Linked DNA regions of Drosophila melanogaster. The gene in region 1 interacts genetically with each later gene. Each region holds a gene or a part of one and is shown in the gene's direction. Other genes may lie near its edges.

Region 1 (7,077 bases):
GCATAATGCCCAATGACAAAGGAATCGAGGCAATAAAAAATTTCCCAATACCTAATAATGCTCATACAGTACAAAGTTTTTTGGGATTATGCTCATATTTTCGACGGTTTATAAAAGATTTTTCTAGACTAGCTAAACCATTGCATGACATTCTAAAAAAAGATAAACCGTTCAAATTTGGTAGTGAAGAAATGATTTGTTTTAATATGTTAAAAGATAAATTAATACAGTCACCGGTCTTAGCTATATACAACCATAAACACGAAACAGAATTGCATTGTGATGCAAGTTCTTCTGGATTCGGTGCTGTACTTATGCAAAAGAAGGAGGACCAGAAATGGCACCCAGTTTCATTCTTTTCAAAACGGACAACAGATATTGAATCAAAATACCACAGTTTCGAGTTAGAAACTTTAGCCATTGTTTATTCGTTACGTAGATTTAGAGTTTATCTTCATTGGAGGACATTTAAAATAGTCACCGACTGCAACTCATTAATTTTGACCCTAAGCAAAAAAGAGCTAAACCCTAGGATAGCCAGGTGGGCTTTAGAATTCCAAGGTTATGATTTTGAAATTGTGCATAGGGCAGGTAGCCGCATGCAACATGTTGACGCACTGAGTAGGTGTACAAATATTATGGTAATACAAACAAACAGTTTCGAAGATAATCTAGTTATATGTCAAGGGAAAGATACAAAATTAAAAGAAATCAGGCAATTGTTAGAAAACACAGAAAATAAATTGTATGAGATGAGAAATGGTATAGTTTACAAAAAGACAAATGAAAATAGATTGCTGTTCTACGTTCCGATAGAAATGGAAGAACAAGTGTTATACAAATATCACAACGAACTTGGACACGTAGGAAGAGACAAAATGATAGAAGCTATAATGAAAAACTATTGGTTTCCAAATTTAAAACAGAAGTGTAGCACACATATCAGCAACTGTTTAAAATGTATTTCATTCAGTCCCAAAACAGGAAAAACAGAAGGATTTCTACACAACATACCTAAGGGAAACAAACCTTTTGAAATAATCCATATTGACCATTATGGTCCAGTAGACTTGGCTAGACCGAAGAAACATATTCTAGTGATAGTAGATGCATTCACAAAGTTTGTCAGACTATACGCAACAAAAACTACGAACACAAAAGAAGTCATACAATCGTTAAATGACTACTTCAGAGCATACAGTAGGCCTAAGTGTATCATATCAGATAGAGGAGCATGTTTCACGTCTGGCGATTTTGACTCATTTTTGAAAGAATGCAATGTTAAACACATAAAAATTGCAACAGGATCGCCACAAGCCAACGGTCAAGTTGAACGTATAAACCGAAGTCTTGGTCCAATGATTAGCAAGTTAATTGAACCTGATCAAGGTCTACACTGGGACTTAGTCTTAGAAAAGGTCGAATATACCCTGAACAATACACTACACCGCAGCATTAAACAGTATCCTAGCATAATGTTATTTGGGTTACAACAAAAAGGACAAATTATGGATGAGTTAAAAGAAAAAATTGAGGAAATTGGAGAAACGATTGAAGAAAGAGATTTAGAAAGTATTAGAAATAAAGGCGAGGCAAGTCAGAAAATAGCACAAGCATACAATAAAGAATATGTTGACAAAAAACGAAAACGATCAGGAGTGTTCACAAAAGGCGACTACGTCATGGTTAAAAATTTTGACTCAACAACAGGCATAGCTAAGAAGTTAATTCCAAAGCATAAAGGACCCTATGTCATAAGCAAAGTTCTCAAAAATGATCGCTTCCTTCTGGAAGATGTTGATGGATTTCAAATTTCTCGCAATCCTTACCGGGGTGTATGGAGCATACAGAATATAAAACACTGGCAAAGAAAAATTAAGAGTCTACAAAATAGAAAGTATAATTTGAGAAACTCTGTACAAAATAGAAAGTATAATTTGAGAAACTCTGTACAAAATAGAAAGTATAATTTAAGAAACTCTGTACGAAATAGAAAGTATAATTTAAGAAGCAATTGTAAAACAAAGAAAACAAACAAGAAGAAAAGAAAACCAAAAAAATGTTTAAGACCGTTCAAAAGTATCTCCACTAAGAAGAATAAAATAAGAAACAGGACCCTTAGCTTTAAGAAACGTTAATTGTTATAAAATCCTACGATCGGGAGATCTAGTTGTCAGGACGGCCGAGTTGTAGTAGGCTGCTCCTTCTACCCTCTTCCTTTACTCTTAGTCATACATACCTAATTATACATAGCCAATCTAGTCATAAGCTTATACACTCATACACCCATCCTTAACATACAAATATTATCGAGAAACTTATCGACTAATCGACTCGCCACTCTGCAGAGAGCGCGGCAGTCAGTCGCTGTTGAACCAAGCTAAAGGACAGATCAAAATAAAAGAGACACGTGAAATTGTATTAGAATATTAACTTCTGTAAACGGCGGCTAAAATTGTATTTTTTCTTATAACACACTTCAAAATAATTTCAACAGCCCGTTCATAAGGTACTAAAAAAAGATTTTACCATCCCTTTCGATGTGTTTTTTTCGATATAACCAGTCTCTGCCATCCATTGCTTTTTGTTTGTGCCGCAAGCTTCCAGTATTTATAAATTTCTGGTATCAAATTTCTGACGATAATAATAATAATATAATAATAATGGTTTTAATAAATTTATTAAAAATTAATTAAACTGGTTTCTTCCGCAACTTAGCTGACTTGGTATTAGAAATTAGGCGATAATCAACAAAAGTGGAAAACAAAAGTTAAGAATAGCTGTTAAAATAATGACGATTACCCGCTTCAGTGCTATTGCAATCAATATCCAATAAATAAGGAATGCTGGCTTAACAGATTTCCCGCGTGTTCTCAAATAAATTATTTACAGGCCAGGTATGGCTGCTCCTCTGCAGTTTGGCTGCTTTTGCGTGATGTGCTGGGTGCGTTGGGCTCAGAAAGCGAAACACCAAATAAATTGAAACTTTCGTTTGCACGCTACAGTTTTTACTTTGACGGAAACGATGCTGAAACGTCGAAAGCCGCATTTCCTGAGTAACAACGTGCTCTACCTAAGATCATTCATCTTCTGGTCGAATGAAACTGGAAAGTTCAACATTCAAAACAGAAGTAATCGATACCATAATTTGCATTAAATGAACCACAAATGAGAGATGAAAAATAAGATGATAAAGATTCGTCTAGAGATCTTTCTGTCTTTCTATTCTGCTGGGTAACGCTTTCTGTGAGCGGTCAATGCGACGATTACCGGCAATTCGATTTTCTCATCGGGCGTTGGCAAAGATATTACGCATACGCCTCGGTCACGCTAACGACAATCCAATAAGTAACTAATAAAGGAAAATTGGCCGACAAAAAGCTGAAAGAAACAATTAGGAAAATTGTAAATTGCGTTTTCAACTCAAACGCGGCCGCTAAAGTTCACGTCCGCCGCTACTATTGCCGCTGACAATGGAGCTCTGGGTGGCTAACCGAGCATTGCTCGTCGACGCAAATCGCTGCGCTCTGCTCGGCAAAACTTTCACTTTCAACTCGACTCGGCCAACTACATCGCTTTGCGCCTCTTCTCCAATACTCCTGCCTAAATCCACGCTATCGCTTCTTCCTATGACTTGGCTTGCTTGCAGGTGGCCATGAACCCTATTCCTAAAGATTACGCGGTCAGCAAATCGATTTATTGCTAGAAATCGGGACAAGGGCACAGCAAATACCTGTAAATTCTTTAGTGTTTTTCTTTGTTTCCAAAACATAGTTGCCAATTTTTCCATGATAAAATTGATTAGTATTAACCGATTTATTTTTATTTAATGATTGCAAAACTGTGCTACTAAATGCAATAGGTAGTCTTAAAATATTTCGGAATATCGACAGAATCTGGCAAGACAATTGTGTTAATTGTTCCCGAGACGAGATGTCATGCTGGCCAAGGTACTTCCTTAAATTGAAAATTAACTTCGCAAGACTAAACGTTATTATCGCCCTTTGTTCAAATTTGTCATGCACATAGAAATAATTACTAATTGTGCTAATAGCTGACACTTCAAATGAAAATGAAACATTCATTCGGAGGTTTATAATTTTTAAAGAAATCGAATAAAATGTACTCCCATTTGGACAAAACAGAATTTGTTTCGAAGAGCTTACTTTTACAATAGGTAGGCAAGCTTTACTTTCATTAGTATTTCAATAGTTTTTCGGAGAACCATTTTAAATAATTCTGAGAACACACTAGGCAAACAAGATAATTATACCACCTAATAGACCATGCTCATTGACAATCTCGATCGCATACCGATTCGACAAAGTTACCCTAAGAGCGTTAAAACTAGTTCCGAACTTGAACTGTACGGACTTTCAGGACTCTTTTCAGCCGTTCCGTCCTCTCCGGTCGGGAGACTTTGACAGAGTTGACACTGCAGTTAAATTTGGACAGCGGTCCGTCTTTTGGGTCACTGCTTACCGCTAAGAATTACGTCACTAACGCCATCTGAAGATTGTAGCGATGAGTAAGAGGCGGAAGCCAAGACATTCATCTCGAGCGTAGCCCACTGTTGCGGTCATAAGCGTCGCATAACAGCGGCTTGGGGACGAGTGATGAAATTTGAAATGCAGTCTGCACTTATAGTTTCCCTTGATTCGATTCGAGTCATGCAGAGAGCGATGTCTTTTGCATTCGGAATCCACTTAATCACGGGCTTACAGCCACGTTGCTTAGAATAGCTGCCCCGGCGAAACCAGCTCTCTCTGTGACCTAAAGAGGGGGAGGCTCAATTGGGCTTCCATTAACTTCTTGGGGCCCCTGTCAGGTGTCAATCAAGTCGAGTTTGCTCTGCAACGCGTCGGATATTGTGAGGCGGGCATACAACAAAGACTGAATTTAAATGGCGGCCACGCCTGCAATCGCTCACGCCTCCAGCTGGAGAGGTTGAACCCAAATCAAAGGGGTCGGTGGCACAAGTACACTGCGAGAATGAATATGATTCTTTCGGGGCTCAGCTCATACTTCAATTTACACGTCCCAGAGGGATTTGGACGTGGCCAGGGCTCGACCGGTACAGATATTACACATCAGCACAGCTACTTGGTGCTCCCCCTAACTCAGATTTTTTCCCGTGTAGCCCGCGTAGGCAATCGATTGTAATCGACGACGACGACGTTTTCTGTGCCTGCCAGCTGGTGCAGTGGCTGTCGCCACTGCCATGTGCGAAATGCAAATGCGAGGGGCGGCTAACGAAGCTAGTGCTGACTCGACCCGTAATATTTTACTTTTACTTTTTATGATTAACATTTCCCACCCAAGGTGGAGGGCCCAAAACGAGCTCTTTACTTATCCACACATTCGTATTTTCGTGGCGGACGATGCGCAATGAGATGAGAAATGCCGAGATCGTAACTTCCAAGATAGCTCGCCGCCGCGATGCCCAGCGTTAAATTATGTTTTTGTCTTTTAATTAACATTACTCGTGTTAGTCGCTTCCCTGCGCCCACCAACCCCCTCCCACTCGCCTCCCTTCTGGCACCGCTCCCACCTACCTACTTGGCCCTGGGTGTCGCAATTGAAAGTGAAACTCTGTTTCCTTTCGACTGCCAGTGGAGTCACAGGTTGGTGGGCCGATCTGGTCTCTTTGGGGGCCAACGCACGAGCTGAAGTGTGAAATGTGAAATGTGTCATCGTCTGGAGTGCGCTGTCCCGAGAGCGGATCTTCTAGGGCTTCCAGACTGAACAGGTTTCGTTGCGGTAGGTCGTACTAAAAGTCTGACACTGAAGACCCTCAAACCAGCCGGCTCGGCAATGGTTACCCGGGAATTACTTAAGAGTCGTATCAAAAGCTCAAAGTTGCGGTGGCCAGGTACTGTTATTGTACCAGCTTGATTGATGAACATCAAATGGCAGATAGTGCGCATACGCACCGTGTTACGCCAGAGACACTCACATTTCTTTAACCAGAAGCTCGATAGGACTTTCAGGGGTGGGCAACGCTCTGCCTCGTCTTCCGCCGAACAGGATGTGGTTCTGATGGTGGGACTCAACGTTTAGTTTCTCGCCAGCGGAGGTGATTTGAAAGCGCGACAGATCGCAGCGCGAACCGAAATACAACTGACGGTGGTTGAAAAGTTTTGCTTGCAAGTAAAAAAGCAGCGAGCTGGAAAACGGCAGAAAAAGTAAAATTATTATGTATACACATGTATGTTTAGAGGCCGATGGCGCAGGCAGCAGCAGACCGAGCGCTGCCAGCGATACTCAGCCAGAAAGCCAGAAAGCCAGACATACGGCAAAGTGGAGCTACGGATCCCGCCCGGTACCGCCCGAGCCCGTCTGTGGCTTCCCCCAACCGCCCCCCAACCGTCCTCCATGCTGCCCAATCGGGCCCAGAGCCGCCAAAGCCGAGGCTAAAACCATCTCCATCTCCGAGCCAAACCAAGGCGAAATTGCTCTCGGTATCAGCAACATTAACTGCGACTGAGTCGGTAAACAAAGCCAAAGCACGCCAAAAAAGAGGCAGCCGAAATGAGCAAGCAATTGCGCAATTGCGTCGCTGCCAGCAGCTCCAACATCAGCAGCAGCGATCGGTGCACAGTGGTACAAGCGCTGTTGCTTGATAGGATTGTGCCGATTAGGCCAATAAGGCCGATTAGGCCGACTAGGCTTCCGATACCTCCTCATATACTAGTGCGAGCAAAGACACTAGAATATTCTAGGGTCTTTGGTGCGAGCGATGCAGCATACATTTTATTTCACTGCTTCTCTTATCTAGAATAACTAAGTTTCTGGGAGTTTTCAAACGGAGTCCCACAGTGCGACGGCGTGCGGCTTCGGAGCTGTTTTATAATTTTTTTGCGTTTGTTCAATCTTGTTTCTTATTTTTGGGCAAGCGGCTGTATCTAGCTTGTCACTCAAAGGAAACATCTTCACTGTCTACCGCTAATTCCTCGGAATTTCAGCCAAACACTGGCTTCCTTTATCCATTGGGTGGAGGGATGTGGGGGAACATTGATTTCTATAAAAAACGAGTAGAATATTTAATGACTACCAAATAGAATATAGTTTCCAAAA
Region 2 (6,835 bases), on another chromosome or scaffold:
TACAGAACAGGGCTTTAACGAAATAACCTTATATTCGGGAAACTGGATACTTCTAGTATTTGAAAGCAAGAAAATCTAATTAGTACTTCTATAAATGTAGGTTTCAAATTCTTAATTAAAATAAATATTGGAAATTTTGCGTCCAAATGAGATTTTTTATGTAAGCTACCAATAGTCTGTTAAGGTACGTTTTGTTAATTCAAATTTATTTTTAGCCAATCAGAAAGAAAAAGCGCACAGTGGAACTAAATAAGAGATCTTCCAAACTAGTCCATTTAAGTTGGCAAAATCTTGGAAGAAATAGTGTGAAAAGCAAATAAAACGAAATAAAGGCAGAACACAAACAAATTAATAAACAAATAGAAACGGAAATAAAAAAAATTAAATACAAACCTTTGGCACTACTTGAATCTGTGACGCTAAGTTGCCCGCCGACGGCGACATGATCATGTTGGCCACCACGTGCTGGCGCCGACCGGAGGACTGGGATTGGTTTTGATTGTGCTCCTGCAGCTGCAGTTGCTCCCCATCGACCACGCTCGCGGGATAGAAGGTTTGCTTGATCTCCAGCCCGGGCGGTAGGTTGAAAACTAGATTTTCGCCACCACCACCGGCGTCCACTGAGGATGCCTCACTGGCAAAATCGAGCTGCCGATGTTCCTGTTTCACCTGCAGCTGCAGCACGTTCTTAATGTCCTCCTGCCCCGCTCCATTGTCCTCCAGCTTCGTCCAGCAGAGGTTCTGCTGCTGCTGCTGTTGCTGCAGGGTGCTTTGTATCACAGATGAGTAGGCCACCGTGGTGGGTGTGGCAGCAGCAGACGATCCAGCGCCCGCTTCTTGCCGCCTTTGCACAGGGGATGCCGTCTTGTAGACGATCACCTGGGCCTGCGGTGTGCTGACCACGTCCACCGCATGTAAATTCGTGATGGGCGATCCATCTGCGGAGCTTAGCGCCGGACTGGCATATTGCACCGGATAGGATCCCGCCGGAACTGGCACTGCCAGCGGCACCGGACTGGCATCCTGTTGGTCTACTATCGTTGCCCGATACGGCTGGCCATCCTTCCGCGTCACCTTGACCTTCCGGCCATCAATGGTGTAATAGGTGTCCGGTTCTGTGTCTGCCTCGGCGATCTCCTGTTGCAGTTGCTGGTGGAGCTGCTGCTGTTGCTGCTGCGCCGCTGTCTGTTGTTGCTGCTGCTGCTGTTGCAGTTGGATCAGGTAAATCGAGTCGTTGTAGGCTTTTAATTGCTTTTCCTGCTTAATCTGCTACAGCGCACCGTACATAGATTGAATCGGAATCGGAAAGTGTTTGGTTTGGGATTGATTCGACATAGAGAGGCTAGACTTAGTCTATGCTTTGATGGGTTTATTGGAAGGGATGTTATGTTAGTATGCGATAAATGCGATAGAGCCTGCGGGGTTTTAATAAGTGTGTGTGCTTCCCCAGAAGCTGGCGTAAACCATAATAGAAGAGTGATCTGAAAGCCGAACGTAAAACAAACGAATTCTACTCACCACTTTGTCGGCCACCAGGTTTAGCTGTTGCTGTTGCGCCTGCTGCTGTTGCTGTTGGGCCTGTTGTTGCTGCTGTTGTGCCTGCTGCTGTTGCTGCTGTGCCTGCTGCTGTTGCATGGCCAGGAAGGTGTTCGATATCATGTTCGGCGTGTTCCAGGTCAGCGACGTCGACGTCAGGGCCACCGTTGTGGGCGATGGTGAGGCTCCACTCGACGAGGAGTTCTCCCCGTAATAGTTCGAGGCAACATTGTTGACTACAGCAGCCGCTGCCGCCGACACGGCCGCCTGGTTCTGGAACGAACTGAGCTGCTTGTCCAGCGAACTGGGCAGCTGCAGCTGGCGGTGCGGCGTGCTCACCGCTGACGAGGCATAGTGGGCGGGCTTAGGCTGGACACTGGCCGCCGCCGCATGGTGGTAGATCTGCTGGAATACTGGGTTGTAGCTGCCAATCGGTGACGGAGGCACAAAGCTGCCACCACTGGCGGCCGCCGCATTAAAGCTGGCGATGCTTGCTGCCGTAATGGTGGCCAGGTGTGGATGCTGGAAGTCCTCTGCTGTTCCGCCGGAGCTTCCGGCACTGGCGGGCACGATGCGGTTGTAGGCGTATGACCAGGGACTGGAATTGGGATCCATGTTTGGCTTGGGCTCTTCTACTGCTGATGGCTGGTAACTGAAACAAATAGCAAAACTTTAGTGGTTTTTGAATATAATTAGCGGCTTATATGTAAAGGATTAACTAATTGGAGTTTATTATTGCTCGGATACATTTCCAATGGTCATGTGTTAAGTCTAAAAATCCCGCCCATATTTATCAATTTAGCGGTAGCTTAGATTATAACATATTTATATTGTTATCACAAGTTGCTTGCCATGGCATTCATAATATAGAGGGGAAAAAGGCGCGAATTCAATTAATGTTATTTATGGATCAATAATAATTACTATAAAATTATTGATATTTATATGTGGTCAAACATATTTTGTTTATCTTTTATTGTAAATCAATAAACACATAGTAGAAGTACACTTTAGAATGAAACACTCCAGTTTTGGGGTGTTTGTTCCCCAACTTTTCTGCACTGAAGGGATCCCCCTATTTTTTTCGTATCTTCATTTTTTTTGTATCCCTTTTGGCCACGATGCGCTTGGTTCCCCCTTCAAAAAAATTGGCGTCTGTATTTTTTGCCTTGGCGCTCGGCGGCAAGGAGACCGCATTTTTGAAGTTTCAGCGTCAATGGGTTAATGTGGGTGCTCACTTATGACATTACAATGACGGGGCCATCACATTGGCTGGGATTTATGCTGTTTTTGGCAATGTTTTTCTGCCTGGGAATAGGATTTTTTCCCGTATTTTCCGCTTGTACATATATGTATCCATGCACACAATCACACACACACACACACATACTCACACACACGGGCGTACATGCGTGCGTGTTGGAAGATAGTCACTAACTTTTAGTCGTTATAGAATCGGAACTGTCGGTCTGCTCGGGCCCAGCATTATCTTCACATCGGATCGGCCAGCACAACAACGCTTCAATATGCACGAGCGGATTTTATGTTTAACTAACAGCGAACGTTCTTTTTTTTAGATTCGGTGCATAACTTTTTTGTGGATGAAACAATCTCCAAAATGGCCGCTCTGCTGCCAGTGAAAAACGAACCACTGGCTCAGGTGAATGATGCCACGGTGAACTTGTTCATCGGTTCACTAGTTCGCGCGCCGAGTGTTTATTGTTTGTTTTGCCGTCGTCCTCGCATTTCGTCTTTGTTAATTTCCTCAAAAAGTATACTGCGTCTTGTGTTCTTCGTGGCATAGGTTAGTCAAAAACATAATTAAGTCATGTTGTGTGAACAATTCACCGTGAAATTTGACCAGCAATTATATTCCCATGTGCTATGCAATAGCAACAAGTGTTGTATAATACGCTTTTTATCGGGTCTACAGTCATTACTAGTTAACTTTGTTGTGTATTTACATTTTACGAGCATTTATTAAGGCACATTTGATAAGATATAAACAAATTAATCGTAACTCCTCTGAAGGTTGTGTTTACTGAACTCGCGCGTTTCCTAACACTGATCAATTGGAACTAGTTGATTTCAAAAACCATGAGAACTTTACAAAATCTGAAAACAAAAAAAAAAATAAAATAATTCCAAACTTAAATATTATATTAAATCTAGGTTTTATTAACTATATGTACGGTTCTAAATTATATATGAACGAATCAAGCCACCACCATTACACATTTTGCAACACTAATTGACCAGAAACCCAGTGGAAAATTGACGCTGCTGATATAATTTAAAAGTTTAGTTAAGGAAAAATTAAATGTTCTTACTTTGGTTTTTTCAACATACATTATCATAAACTTGTAGCTTAATAATACAAAATGTAGCTAAATCTTTAACTCGTTATCCGTGATGTTAAGGAATGTTGAATTCGGCTTTGACAAGTAAAATAGTTAACAATGGTTTCTGTTCCTTAAATATTACTAATTTGTATACATTTAAAAGATTTGGCATAATAACTGGTGTAAAAAAATATTTATTTTTTAATATAAAAATCATAACATTAAATTTAAAACCATCGCGTTGCGATATATGTTGCATTATCCAGCACTGTTCGGCTGGAACCAGTTCGATAGCCCGCTGTTTTATGGTTGGTTCACGTACTAATGACAGTCATTTTACGTATTCATTGCTAAAAGAAAACTGAAAAAATACATTTGACCAAGTTTCCGGTTAGTCATCCGCCCACACCGATCTTCAATTAGTCCTAACCGAATCAAAGGAGAGGTGCGTAGTGCCCAATTGTCAATGAATCGGGGGGAATCCGCCAGCAGCTGGCTGCTCCTCTGCGTACGTGTAAATCTGGGTGAGACGCCCACTAAATAGCAATCACAACATTTCCAGAGAGCACATAGCCATGGACTTCGGAGACGATTTCGCTGCCAAGGAGGACGTGGATCCGGCGGCCGAGTTCCTGGCGCGCGAACAGTCAGCTCTCGGGGACTTGGAGGCGGAGATTACGGGTGGATCTGCATCAGCTCCTCCGGCTGCATCCACAGACGAGGGCTTGGGTGAGCTTCTGGGAGGCACCGCCTCCGAAGGCGATCTGCTCTCTGCTGGCGGCACGGGTGGCCTCGAATCCTCCACTGGCAGTTTTGAGGTCATTGGTGGCGAGTCCAATGAACCCGTGGGCATATCCGGTCCGCCGCCGTCGCGGGAAGAGCCCGAAAAGATACGCAAATGGCGCGAAGAGCAAAAGCAACGACTGGAGGAGAAGGACATCGAGGAGGAGCGAAAAAAGGAGGAACTCCGACAGCAGTCCAAGAAGGAGCTGGACGACTGGTTGCGCCAGATTGGCGAGTCCATATCGAAGACCAAACTGGCGTCGCGGAATGCCGAGAAACAAGCCGCCACCCTGGAGAATGGCACCATCGAGCCGGGCACCGAATGGGAGCGCATAGCCAAGCTCTGCGACTTCAATCCCAAGGTGAACAAGGCGGGAAAGGACGTCTCCCGCATGCGATCCATCTACCTGCACCTCAAGCAGAATCCCATCCAGGTGCAGAAGAGCACCTAGGTAGTTTTAATTACGCACTCGCCTAACCACATTGAGTTGAATATGAAAATTATTATTGAAAGTATTCGCTGTATATTCCAATTTATGATACATAAAATATTATTATTGCTGCTATAACATAGCCGCGATCATCGTTTTGTCTAATGAATGCAATAAAGAATGTGCACACAGTTGTCATGCTTTCCTTGACTATCATATACCCCATCACACAAAATAAGAAAAACGACATGAAAAAGTTAGGAAAAAGAACAAATAAAAAATAAAACCAAGGATATGACAACTAAAGTGTTTTTTCGTTCATTTTGTTAATCAAGCAGGGTTGCACATCAAGGGGCTTTAATTACTTCCAGTTTTGTTGTAAATAATATTTATTGCTCTATAAAACGCATTATACAAACCATTTATTATTCTTATCTCTAGTTAGTTATACACATACAACTTGTTTTCATCATATATGTGTGTTGGAAATATCAATGGGTTGGAAATGGAATATGGTTGTGTATGGATTTGCATTCATTAAATGATTATTAAAATAAAGACATACAGACAACTGAGGCAAGTATTTGTCATTGCAGAGCTGGTTTAATGTATGCATTATATGAATGAAATACGCATAAAGAAACCAATTACGATAATGAAAAGTGGATATCAGAAATCATAATTTAATTATTTCCATCGCTTAATAAGGTTTTCTACTTGTTTTGCAGAAATGGCTGAAGTTTCCGCTCAAGATTTGATATCCCAGTTGTCGAAGTCACCCGAAAGCCACAAGAGAAAGGAATATCTGCATTGGGATGACTACTTTATGGCCACCTCACTGCTCTCCGCCAAACGCAGCAAAGATCCCGTCACCCAAGTGGGCGCCTGCATCGTGGATTCCCAGAATCGGATAGTGGCCATTGGATACAATGGGTTCCCTCGCAACTGCAGCGATGACGTGTTTCCGTGGTCAAAAGCTAAGAAAGGCTCGCAGGAATTTGATCCCCTGGAAGACAAGAAGATGTACGTGGTCCACGCGGAGGCCAATGCAATCCTGAACAGCAACGGCATGAGTTTGTCTGGAACTCGACTGTATACCACACTATTTCCGTGCAACGAATGTGCCAAACTCATTATACAGGTAAAACTAATATTAACGAAGGAAGCCGAATATAGGATTTCTGTTCTATTATTTGAAATGCAACTTTAATATTTTCATATGGCAGCTGTATAATTTAGTCGTCCTATTTTGATAAAATGAAAAACGAATTAATATATGGAAAAACAACGGTTGTGTACAAAATTACACCAATATATGATCACAAACATGGAAGCACAATCTTTCCAATAGTTTCACGGCTTCAAAAAGGTTTTAAGTTTTTCGTTAAAACGAAAGGACGACCAAACGGACGGCAGCTTTATGAACTCATCTTCTAAAATTGATCAAGAATATATAGTACATACATATCATAACATATAAATTAACCTATTTGTATTCCAGGTGGGCATATCTCAGGTGCTATATTTGTCCGACAAATATGCCGATAAGCCCACATATCGTGCATCCAAGCGGATGCTGGATGCAGTGGGCGTGGAATATAAGCGACACATCCCCCAGAAAAAAACGATCACCATTGATTTTGACACCTTCCCGGAAGAAGATCCGAATGCATCCCTGGGACTAAACGAACTCCATTTGTAATGTACTAATACAATCTTAGCTATCTTGACAACTTTTAATGT
Region 3 (9,251 bases), on another chromosome or scaffold:
GCCATTGTTAATGAACTCCGAGTGGCAGGACACGTAGAGCAGGGCGGACAGCTTGATCTCGTCGTAGCTGAGCACCGAGGTCAAAGTGAGGGGTTCCTTTTCGGCGGGCGTACCCACTGCCTCGAAGCCCTCGTTACCAATATTTCCCTGCATTGTACGGTAATAGTCGTTAGCGCCAAAGAACCACACACATCTCTTCGCCAGCAGGCGCTGCACAAGGTCAACCACAGTCATGTCCTTGTAGATGGCCTTCTCCTGCTCGCTGCCTGTAAAACGATGACCAGAAAATATAAATTCTTTCGATTGTGATTGTACCCACCGAACGTGAGCTTGTGCTCTAAGAAGCTGATAAAGAGTAGGAGGGTCCGTTCGTGAATCACCGGATAGGCGGATGCGATTTGTTCCCGTATGCGGTCACTTCGATCTTCCGGCTGTGCCTTCACTCGGCAGGAATCGATGCCAAACTAATGTGGGGGGATTATATCAATGTCAGAAGACAATTTTGCGAAACCAATTCCAATGAGTATACCTCGGCGGGAGACTGCTCCGAAATAGCTTTGAAATTATCGAGATCCACCGAAGCGTCCGGCTTTGCCATTTGGCCACATTCTTGAAGCATCCGCTGAGTGAAAGCATTTTCCGGCAGATTTGTACGTTTACCAGGCCATATGATAATAGATTTTCCGCACAAACATGCCAATTTGGGACGTTGGGAGAGCATATAAAGAAAAGATCTCATCGCACTTTTTGGAGTCACTTTTAGGAGTCCGGACAAAAAAGTTCGCCGCTGATAGGAATATATGTCAACTGTCACTGGACGATCCAGTGCTGCACACCGACGTCAGATTTAATAACTTATTTCCACTGTCACATTAACTACCCAACACTCAAAAAGATTTGAAACGAATTTAATATAGCTTCTGAAAAGTTGTTTTATTTCCATTCAGATATTTCGAAATTATTATAGAATCCATTTCCATTTCGAAGTTGCAAACAAACTTTTCTCTTGTCAACCTACATTTATTAGAAAACAAATGGTTCTTATCAATTTAGTTCGAAAGTTCACAAGTGTCTCTTCCCCCCTTGAATGTGTGTCTGAAAATATTTGCTGTTCTGTTTCCATTAAGAGATATTTGGTAATTAAAAAAAAATATATATATTAATTTCTCTAATATAGCAATCTCTGTTAATAATTCTCGAAACAGAAACATGATCGACATACTTTCAAGCACTAATTACTTTTTACAAGGTATTTTATTTAAATTACAAAAGGATGTTAATCATTTAAATTAAATCTGAGACTGCAACGCATTGCGCACACATTTCCCCCAGAGCTTCGTGTGCCGCCTTCCTTTGCTACTTCCATCCTGGTTTTCCGCTCGGGATTACACGACGCGCTTGACCTCGAAGAAGCGTTTCAGGTAGTACACCTGGCCCACTGTCATCAGGACCAGGACGAGGGCTTCGAAGGTGGACCACAGCACCACTCGCGAGTTGGTGTTCTCGTTCACCGAACGATGGATCTTGTCGCGCACCTGAGGGAGTAAAGAAATTGGAGGATTAGTCGTGGATTACTTCACAAATAATGTCAATACTGATTATAACCGATGGTGAAAACATGAGTGTTTGAAAATCGCTACTAGTTATTGTTTATGTGGCAGCTAGCAGCTCCATTCCCTCGAACAAGTCTACCGACTCCGCTCTTAAATCTTGCGACGTGGATCTGTACAAGTAATGCTGGAGGCATGCCAGACTATGTGGCAATAGTTACTCGATTGCTCCCATATTCCATGTACCCCTAATTCTGCTACATGTTAAACTCTTCCAAAACCCCCAATCATGATTATGTGGCAGCTGGATGCTCCATCTTCACCTCGTCTCTTCACTCACATGCATGTACTCCTGTTCGTGCTTGACACTGGTCAGCGTGCCGGAGAGCTCCCGAATCATGTCCTCCAGCTTGGTGTGGCCCACCTCCTCCTCGCCGGGTGCTCCGGGCGCACGTTGCGGTGCGTCACCCACGTCGATGGAGAACATGACCAGCTTGGGGGTCATGCTGCTGCGTTCGTTGTTGAAGCACACGGTGTAGGTTCCCTTGGCGGGGGCCACAAAGGTGTACTTGCCGGACGACTCCTTTTCGCTCTCGTGCATCACATGGTTATCCGGGCCGCTGATCTTGATGTCCACGTCTAGGAAGCCACCGTCGATCACCTCGAAGGTGACGCCTGTAAAGTCACCATCATTTTATCAGCATAGATCCCTTGTCAATTGACCGAAAATCCATATCGCTCACGTACCAAACTTGGTGCCGCCTTCGACGTTCTCGAAGAAGCACTCCTCATTGTGGGCGTCCACGCTGACGATGAAGGCGTGGCTGGTGCGGCACAGGATCAGCAGGCTGCCCACAAGGAGCAGCACCTTGGCGAGTGTCGATTCCATCGTTTGTCTTAGTACTTTTGGCCTGGTTTTAATCGCTATTAAACGCACTGCAGCCACGTAGTTGTAGTCGATTCGATATACTCCGATAGATGTAGACAAATAGGGCATATCGAAGAACAGCAGTTTCCGATAGATTCGGCATCGATAGGTGCACGCGACACGCGATACCGAATTTTTAACGGATCACTACAAAAAACTCACAACTCATAAAAATTCAAAAGCAACATGAATGCCGCGAAATGTTTCGGTTAAAGTATTGGATATCGTAACTAATACATTACTTTATTTATGTGCGTACCTATATGAAAAACTCTTGGTGCATTCCATCACAGTTAGTTAAAGTGTTCTAGTATTTTTGTGCTATGTGTTAATCGGCGACTATCGACAGTTGCCCACCATTAGGAAACAGAAAGCTAAAAAAAAAAATGCAAAAATTGGCCAGAATTTCGGCATAAATAATAGTATCCCTTGCAAAACTTGCAAGCTGCGTGGCAGGACGAGCAGCTGACCACCAGATCGTCTTGAGGATTCAACATCAGGAACAAAGGTTTCACATTGGACGCATTTGCAAAAACCGAAAGGGAAAACTGCCAACTCCCACACACAAAAAAAAAGGAAAAAAAAAATCATCAGCACGGAAAGTAAAAGGTCAAGTGGTCAACCGAAATCTGGGTAATCCGGGGGAATCTTTGCAAGAATGCAGCAGAACTCGGCCAGCAATCCCTTCGCCATGTCCACATATGTGGAGCGGCCCCAAATGGGACTGGACGTCGAATTCGGAGCGGATCCTGCCAGCGGAGCAGCTTTCTTCCAATCCGATGGACGCAAGCATGATGATCTCAAGCAAATGTTGGACAGCAACAAGGATGGACTAAAGCTGGAGGCCATGAAGCGCATCATTGGCATGATTGCCCGCGGACGGGATGCCAGTGATCTGTTCCCGGCAGTCGTCAAGAATGTGGTGTCCAAGAATATCGAGGTCAAGAAGTTGGTCTACGTCTATTTGGTGCGATACGCCGAGGAGCAGCAGGACTTGGCCCTGCTATCCATTTCCACATTTCAGAGGGCGCTCAAGGATCCCAATCAACTTATTCGCGCCTCGGCTCTGCGAGTGTTATCCTCCATAAGGGTCAGCATGATTGTGCCAATCGTAATGCTGGCCATTCGGGATAGCGCCGCCGATTTGAGTCCATATGTGCGGAAAACAGCGGCACATGCCATCCCCAAGTTGTATTCTCTGGACGCGGATCAAAAGGATGAACTGGTCATGGTCATTGAGAAGCTTTTATCGGATCGCACTACTCTAGTGGTGGGATCAGCGGTGATGGCCTTCGACGAGGTGGGTCTGCAGCTAAAGTAAAACATTTATCCTCTATATACGACGGATCTTTATTCGTAGGTTTGTCCGGAACGTGTAGATTTGATACACAAGAACTACCGCAAGCTGTGCAATTTCCTGCTGGATGTGGACGAATGGGGTCAGGTGATCATCATTAATATGTTGACCCGCTATGCGCGCACTCAGTTCGTTGATCCCAATGCGGATGATGAGGATCTGGTCAACGATGGCCTGGGCGAAACGCCCGTTAGTGAACGCTTCTACGACGAATCCTCGCACTCCTCTTCCCACAGCGATGATGGCAGTAGCGATGACGAAAAAAACAAGTCGAGTACGAACAATAAAAACAATGGCGGAGGAAATGGCAGTAGAACACCCAGTTCTCCGAGCAACAGCTACCACATCGATGTGGATCACCGCCTGCTGTTGAGGCAAACGAAACCATTGCTCCAATCGCGAAATGCCTCCGTGGTGATGGCAGTGGCGCAGCTCTATCATCATGTGGCTCCCAAGAACGAAGTGCAATTGATTGCCAAGGCGCTGATACGACTGCTGCGATCGCATAAGGAGGTTCAGAGCGTGGTCCTCAATTGCATTGCCTCGATGTCCACCAAACGAAAGGCGATCTTTGAGCCGCACCTCAAGTCGTTCTTTGTGCGCACCAGCGATCCCACGCACATAAAGCTTCTCAAGCTGGATATTCTCACCAATCTGGCCTCGGCGGGCAGTATTTCGCTCATTCTGCGCGAATTTCAAACCTACATCTCCAGCAGCGATCGTTCGTTTGTGGCGGCCACGATTCAGGCCATTGGACGATGTGCATCTAGCATTAAGGAGGTTACCGAGACCTGCTTGAGTGGCCTGGTTCATCTGCTGTCCAATCATGACGGTGCGTTAAGCTTTCTTTTAGCCATTTGTATTTTAATTTTATAAGTATTCCGTTATTCCATTTAGAACACGTGGTGGCCGAGAGCGTGGTGGTGATTAAGCGTCTTCTGCAAACGAAAGCCGCCGAGCACTTTGAGATTATCACCCAAATGGCCAAACTGATCGATTATATCAATGTGCCCGCAGCTAGGGCAGCCATCATTTGGCTTATAGGCGAATACAACGAGAAGGTGCCGCTGATTGCCCCGGATGTGCTGCGCAAAATGGCCAAATCGTTTGTCGATGAGCAGGATGTGGTGAAGCTGCAGGTCCTAAACTTAGGCGTTAAGCTCTATCTGACCAATCCGGAGCAGACATCGTTGCTGTGTCAGTACGTCTTTACGCTGGCTCGCTATGATCCCAACTACGATGTACGCGATCGTGCCCGTTTTCTGCGGCAAATCATCTTTCCGGCGAGCGGAACGAGCTCGGTGCTCAGCCAGCATGCCCGCCAAGTATTTCTCGCCAGCAAACCGGCTCCGGTGCCGGAGAGTAAATACCGGGATGGCAATAACTTCCAGTTAGGATCGTTGTCTCACTACCTGAACATGCCAGCGGCTGGCTACAAGGAACTGCCCGCCTTTCCGGTGATTCCACCGGATTCATCGGTACGCAATATAGCTGGATTTATGCAGGACAAGCTGCCGGGTGAAGACTCGCCATCCGGACATTCAAAGGATAAATCCGGCCGTGAAGGCGGTAAGGAAAAGGGTGCTGGTGGCGAGAAGGGCTTCCTCTCTGAGTCGGACGACAAGTCTTCCGCTTACTCGGAATCAGGCAGCAGCAGTGGCAGTGGCACCAGCGACAGTGAATCCGATAGCGATGGCAGCGGGAGCAGCGATGAGGAGGAGGAGGAGGTGCAAAAGCAGCAGCCGACCAAGGTTTCCTCGGTGAAGGAGCGGCTTATCGATGCTGGAAGCAATGAGCTGGCCGCTACTTCTTCGCCTGTAAAAGCAACTATAAACAACAATAACAATGCGAGAGGTTCGTCAGGAACATCGGACAGCGAGGATTCATCAGCGTACAGTGGCAGTAGTAGTGATGACAGCGCTTCCGGTAGCGATAATGAAGTGAAAAAGAACGAAACGAAAACGGACACAGGCACAAAGCCGGAGAAGTTGAAAGAGAAGCACGAGAAACAGCCGGAGCAAACGGCTGTCAAGAGCAATCTGGACCTGCTACTCGATCTGGATGACATTCCGCCCATTGGTCCCGTGATGACGCCCTCGTTGGGAGGATTCCTGACGCCTGGTAAGGTGATGCGCATCTCTAAATTGGCCTCTTTATATAATAATTCTTCAATAGGCACACCAATGATGGCTGGACAGGCGGCGCCACTGCAGCCGCAGCACGCCCGCAATCGGGTGGAATTGGTGGGTCCCTCGCACATCGAGTTCAAGCACAAGGAGCTGCTTAACAAGGTCAGTGGCCATGGACTGCATTTGGCCTACCGTTTCACCCGCTCCCCGCATCTGTACTCCTCGAGCATGTGCTCCATTGAGCTGCAGTTCCAGAATCGTGGCGAAAAAGAGATTACGGCCATTCGTCTCGGGCAAACAACTCTGCCGGCGGGCATGCAATTGAATGAGTTTGCGCCAATCACTGTTCTCCAGCCCCAACAAACAGCGAGTGGTGTGCTGGGCGTCGATTTCAATGATTCGACGCATGCTGTAGACCTGGAGCTTCTGTCAAGTGCGGGCAGTTCACGACTGCAATTGAAACCGCCGGTGGGCGAGCTGGTGAGATCCGTCCAGATCGGCGAGAGCTGTCATCGCGAGGAGCGGGCCAAGCTGCGTGGAATGAATGAGCATCAGTGCGAGTTGCGTGGCCTGAGGCAGGACCTAATCGATGTGGTCGCATTGCGGCAAAAGGTTTTCGAGTCCATCAACGTGGCGCATACGCACAGCTCTTCCAGCGGTCAGCTACACTGTTTCGCCGGCCAAACCCTGAGCTCCAAAAGCCTCGTGCTACTCACCCTCGATTGGAAAACAGAGGATGCCCTCACGCTGCTGGTAAACTGCGAGAAAATGGTCATTGGATCCATGGTGCTCAACGAGCTGCGCAATGCTCTGCAGCTCAGTTTCGCCATGTGAGCGATGGACACGAAAGCGAACAAGACGAAAGCGAGCAGCGAACTAACTTGAGGAGTGGAATCCCCTGGAGCAGGGCTACTCAACTGAGAATAAGGCAAAGCCGCCTCACTACGTAAACATAGCATTCATATTTAGCTATACACTTGTAAACGGGCGGGGAGAACGTAATCTTTGAAATTAGCTGATAACATTAGCTGAGATTACAGGTGTTTTAAATTCCATTTTCGAGAGATTATATGTAAATGTGCAGTGTAACAGATGCAACTTAAGTGTTCAAGTGGGATCGAAATCCAAAACTAATTTAAATTGCAATTTCAACTGTAATTATTACATATTCTTTAACTTGTTGAAAACTGAATGAAAAGTGATGCAAACTATTGTGTAAATGCTACAAAACTATATTTATTGTTATACACATTCGCAAATTCTTAATGAAACTTATTGAAATGGGAAACACACAACTTCCTATATATTTGTATCCGCTTATACTGAGATATTTTGCATAAAAGAGTCACCATTTCCTTTTATGAATGGATGAACACAACATGAGATTAGTGTAGCTTTCATATCCAAATCGAAAATTATTCAAGGATTACCAACCGCCCCGCCCAAATATAAATGAAACATGATCCTAACGCTTTTAATATTCCTATATACAAACTGCAACCACAAACAATTCCAGATGAAATGAGATGTTACAATTGATTGAACTCGAATCGTTGCCGATCCAAACAAATCCTATCCTCCAATCCATCCTACTTAGCTAGGCGTGTGTGTAATGTGTGTATGAGTAATCGAAACGTATTTGTAAAGTGTTTGATGTTGTAAATCTGTTGCCTTCGTGCTCTATGCGGCCTTCTTCAAAACGTAGCAAAGACAAACGAATATCGAATCTATATATTATATATTATATTCATACAATAAACAGCGCAAATTCTGGCAAATTAAAGTGAACAAATGAAACGTATTCTAATAAAGAAACAAATCAATCTGTTAATATGCCTGAAACAAATAAGCTGAATCTCCGCATTGAAAAGCTGAAATAAAAGCTTACATTTTAAAATTGAGAACGTCTTACCTGTTTTGGATAAACGAATCAAGTTTAATACACGCTCGCACATGTCAAGTAAAAATGCTTTTTTCAAAAGTTTTCAATTATTTTGATGTTTATTCACGCTTGTTCTTGTTACTTTCTCCACTCACCAAACAGAATATAAGAAGTCAGCAAGGACAAACTTTCAAATGCAAAAGAATCGAATCGAATTCTAATTAGTTCAATTCCTTAAAATTCGAGTTGATTTCTGCATTTATGTATCAATTTCCTGCTGCTGTCGCTTGAAAGTCGGGATTGCTTCAAAATAGCTCCGTGGGAAATTATAGAAGGAGGTTGGACATACTGACATGCTGGGTTATAGAACATACATAACTCATTCCTCAAATCCTACGCTGCTTTCTCCAAATCCAACTGTGTTTTAGGTGTCGGTGTCGGTGTAGTTGTAGCTGTATTTCCTTGTGTTCTAATTTGGGTTCTGCACAATTAAAAAGCTCAATTTCATGCTTATCAATATAAACGAGTTAGTTAGATCGCTAGGTTAGTAATGTTTAGTTTAGTTTTGGATTCGCTGCTGCACTTAAAGATCTCAAGTAGTAGTTTTAGTAGTTGTAGTTTTCGGTTAGGCTAGGCTTTAAGATCAACGGCTTGAAAGTTCCGAGTGATAAGTGAAGAAATATAGGGTTTTGGGGATGCTATATAATGTATGATTAGGGGATAGATAGCATGTATGTATGTACGAATAGTACGAGTATGTACGTATGCATTAATGTAATTTTTGGGTAATATGGCATGGGTATATGTATGCTGTAATAATGGGTTGTGAGTAGTTCTTGACAGGCATATAGTAGAGCGTTTGTATATAGTGTCCTGGGGTAGTATCGTTCTCTTCTCGTTTTCGCTATTCTGTATACACGTTATATAATATGCCACGGCCTTCGTTCGCTTAACTTCATATAAAACTAGTTTTTTTTTTACCATTTTTTTTTTGTTTTGTTTAGTTTTCTTTCTTTTAAATGTATATGCAAGATGTATATATCGATTTATGCAGTATGTGTGTATGTCTAAGGATGATTTTCAATCACTTATTGTTACGTACGGTGTTTGGTATAACATGCTTCGCTTGGACTAGCCCGATGGCCTCTTTCTCCACCTCTCCCGTTTTGTCTACCTTCAGATTTATTAGATCCGGCGGATCGTTCAAATCGTTCTTTCCTTCCCTACTCTCTAACTTCAATAACATATAAAGCATTGGTTTGGTTTTGGTTTTCATCTTTGGGTGTCTTAAATGGGCAACGAAATAGTTATCGCTTATCGCACAAACGATATTTTCGATTATGGCTCGATTACCGAGACTATATAATCGATAAGCATCGATAGCTGCGAAGCGAAGCATTGAGAG

Evidence for each region.
Region 2: of aux (region 1) and Clc, changing one enhances a phenotype caused by changing the other (phenotypic enhancement), as found in Drosophila melanogaster (one study listed by BioGRID).
Region 3: of aux (region 1) and rb, changing one enhances a phenotype caused by changing the other (phenotypic enhancement), as found in Drosophila melanogaster (one study listed by BioGRID).

What each region holds. Positions count from the first base shown.
Region 1 is NT_033777.3:4,209,190-4,216,266, forward strand, and holds the start of aux (auxilin), read left to right. Parts: upstream 1-2,593; 5' UTR 2,594-2,623; intron 2,624-2,718; 5' UTR 2,719-2,726; intron 2,727-5,933; exon of another isoform or gene 5,934-6,125; intron 6,126-7,077.
Region 2 is NT_037436.4:20,238,345-20,245,179, forward strand, and holds Clc (clathrin light chain), read left to right. Parts: upstream 1-2,708; 5' UTR 2,709-2,762; intron 2,763-2,774; exon of another isoform or gene 2,775-3,196; intron 3,197-3,218; exon of another isoform or gene 3,219-3,340; intron 3,341-3,500; exon of another isoform or gene 3,501-3,559; intron 3,560-4,161; exon of another isoform or gene 4,162-4,440; 5' UTR 4,441-4,453; coding exon 4,454-5,113; 3' UTR 5,114-5,391; downstream 5,392-6,835. Other genes in the region: CG17233 (uncharacterized protein), read right to left, coding at 394-1,269, 1,519-2,151; CG6951 (uncharacterized protein), read left to right, coding at 5,823-6,233, 6,594-6,794. UniProt on the Drosophila melanogaster protein: Clathrin is the major protein of the polyhedral coat of coated pits and vesicles.
Region 3 is NC_004354.4:4,534,191-4,543,441, reverse strand, and holds rb (ruby), read left to right. Parts: upstream 1-2,815; 5' UTR 2,816-3,136; coding exon 3,137-3,778; intron 3,779-3,838; coding exon 3,839-4,667; intron 4,668-4,732; coding exon 4,733-5,956; intron 5,957-6,010; coding exon 6,011-6,798; 3' UTR 6,799-7,807; downstream 7,808-9,251. Other genes in the region: CG3568 (uncharacterized protein), read right to left, coding at 1-266, 320-464, 530-739; CHOp24, read right to left, coding at 1,386-1,535, 1,891-2,225, 2,298-2,439.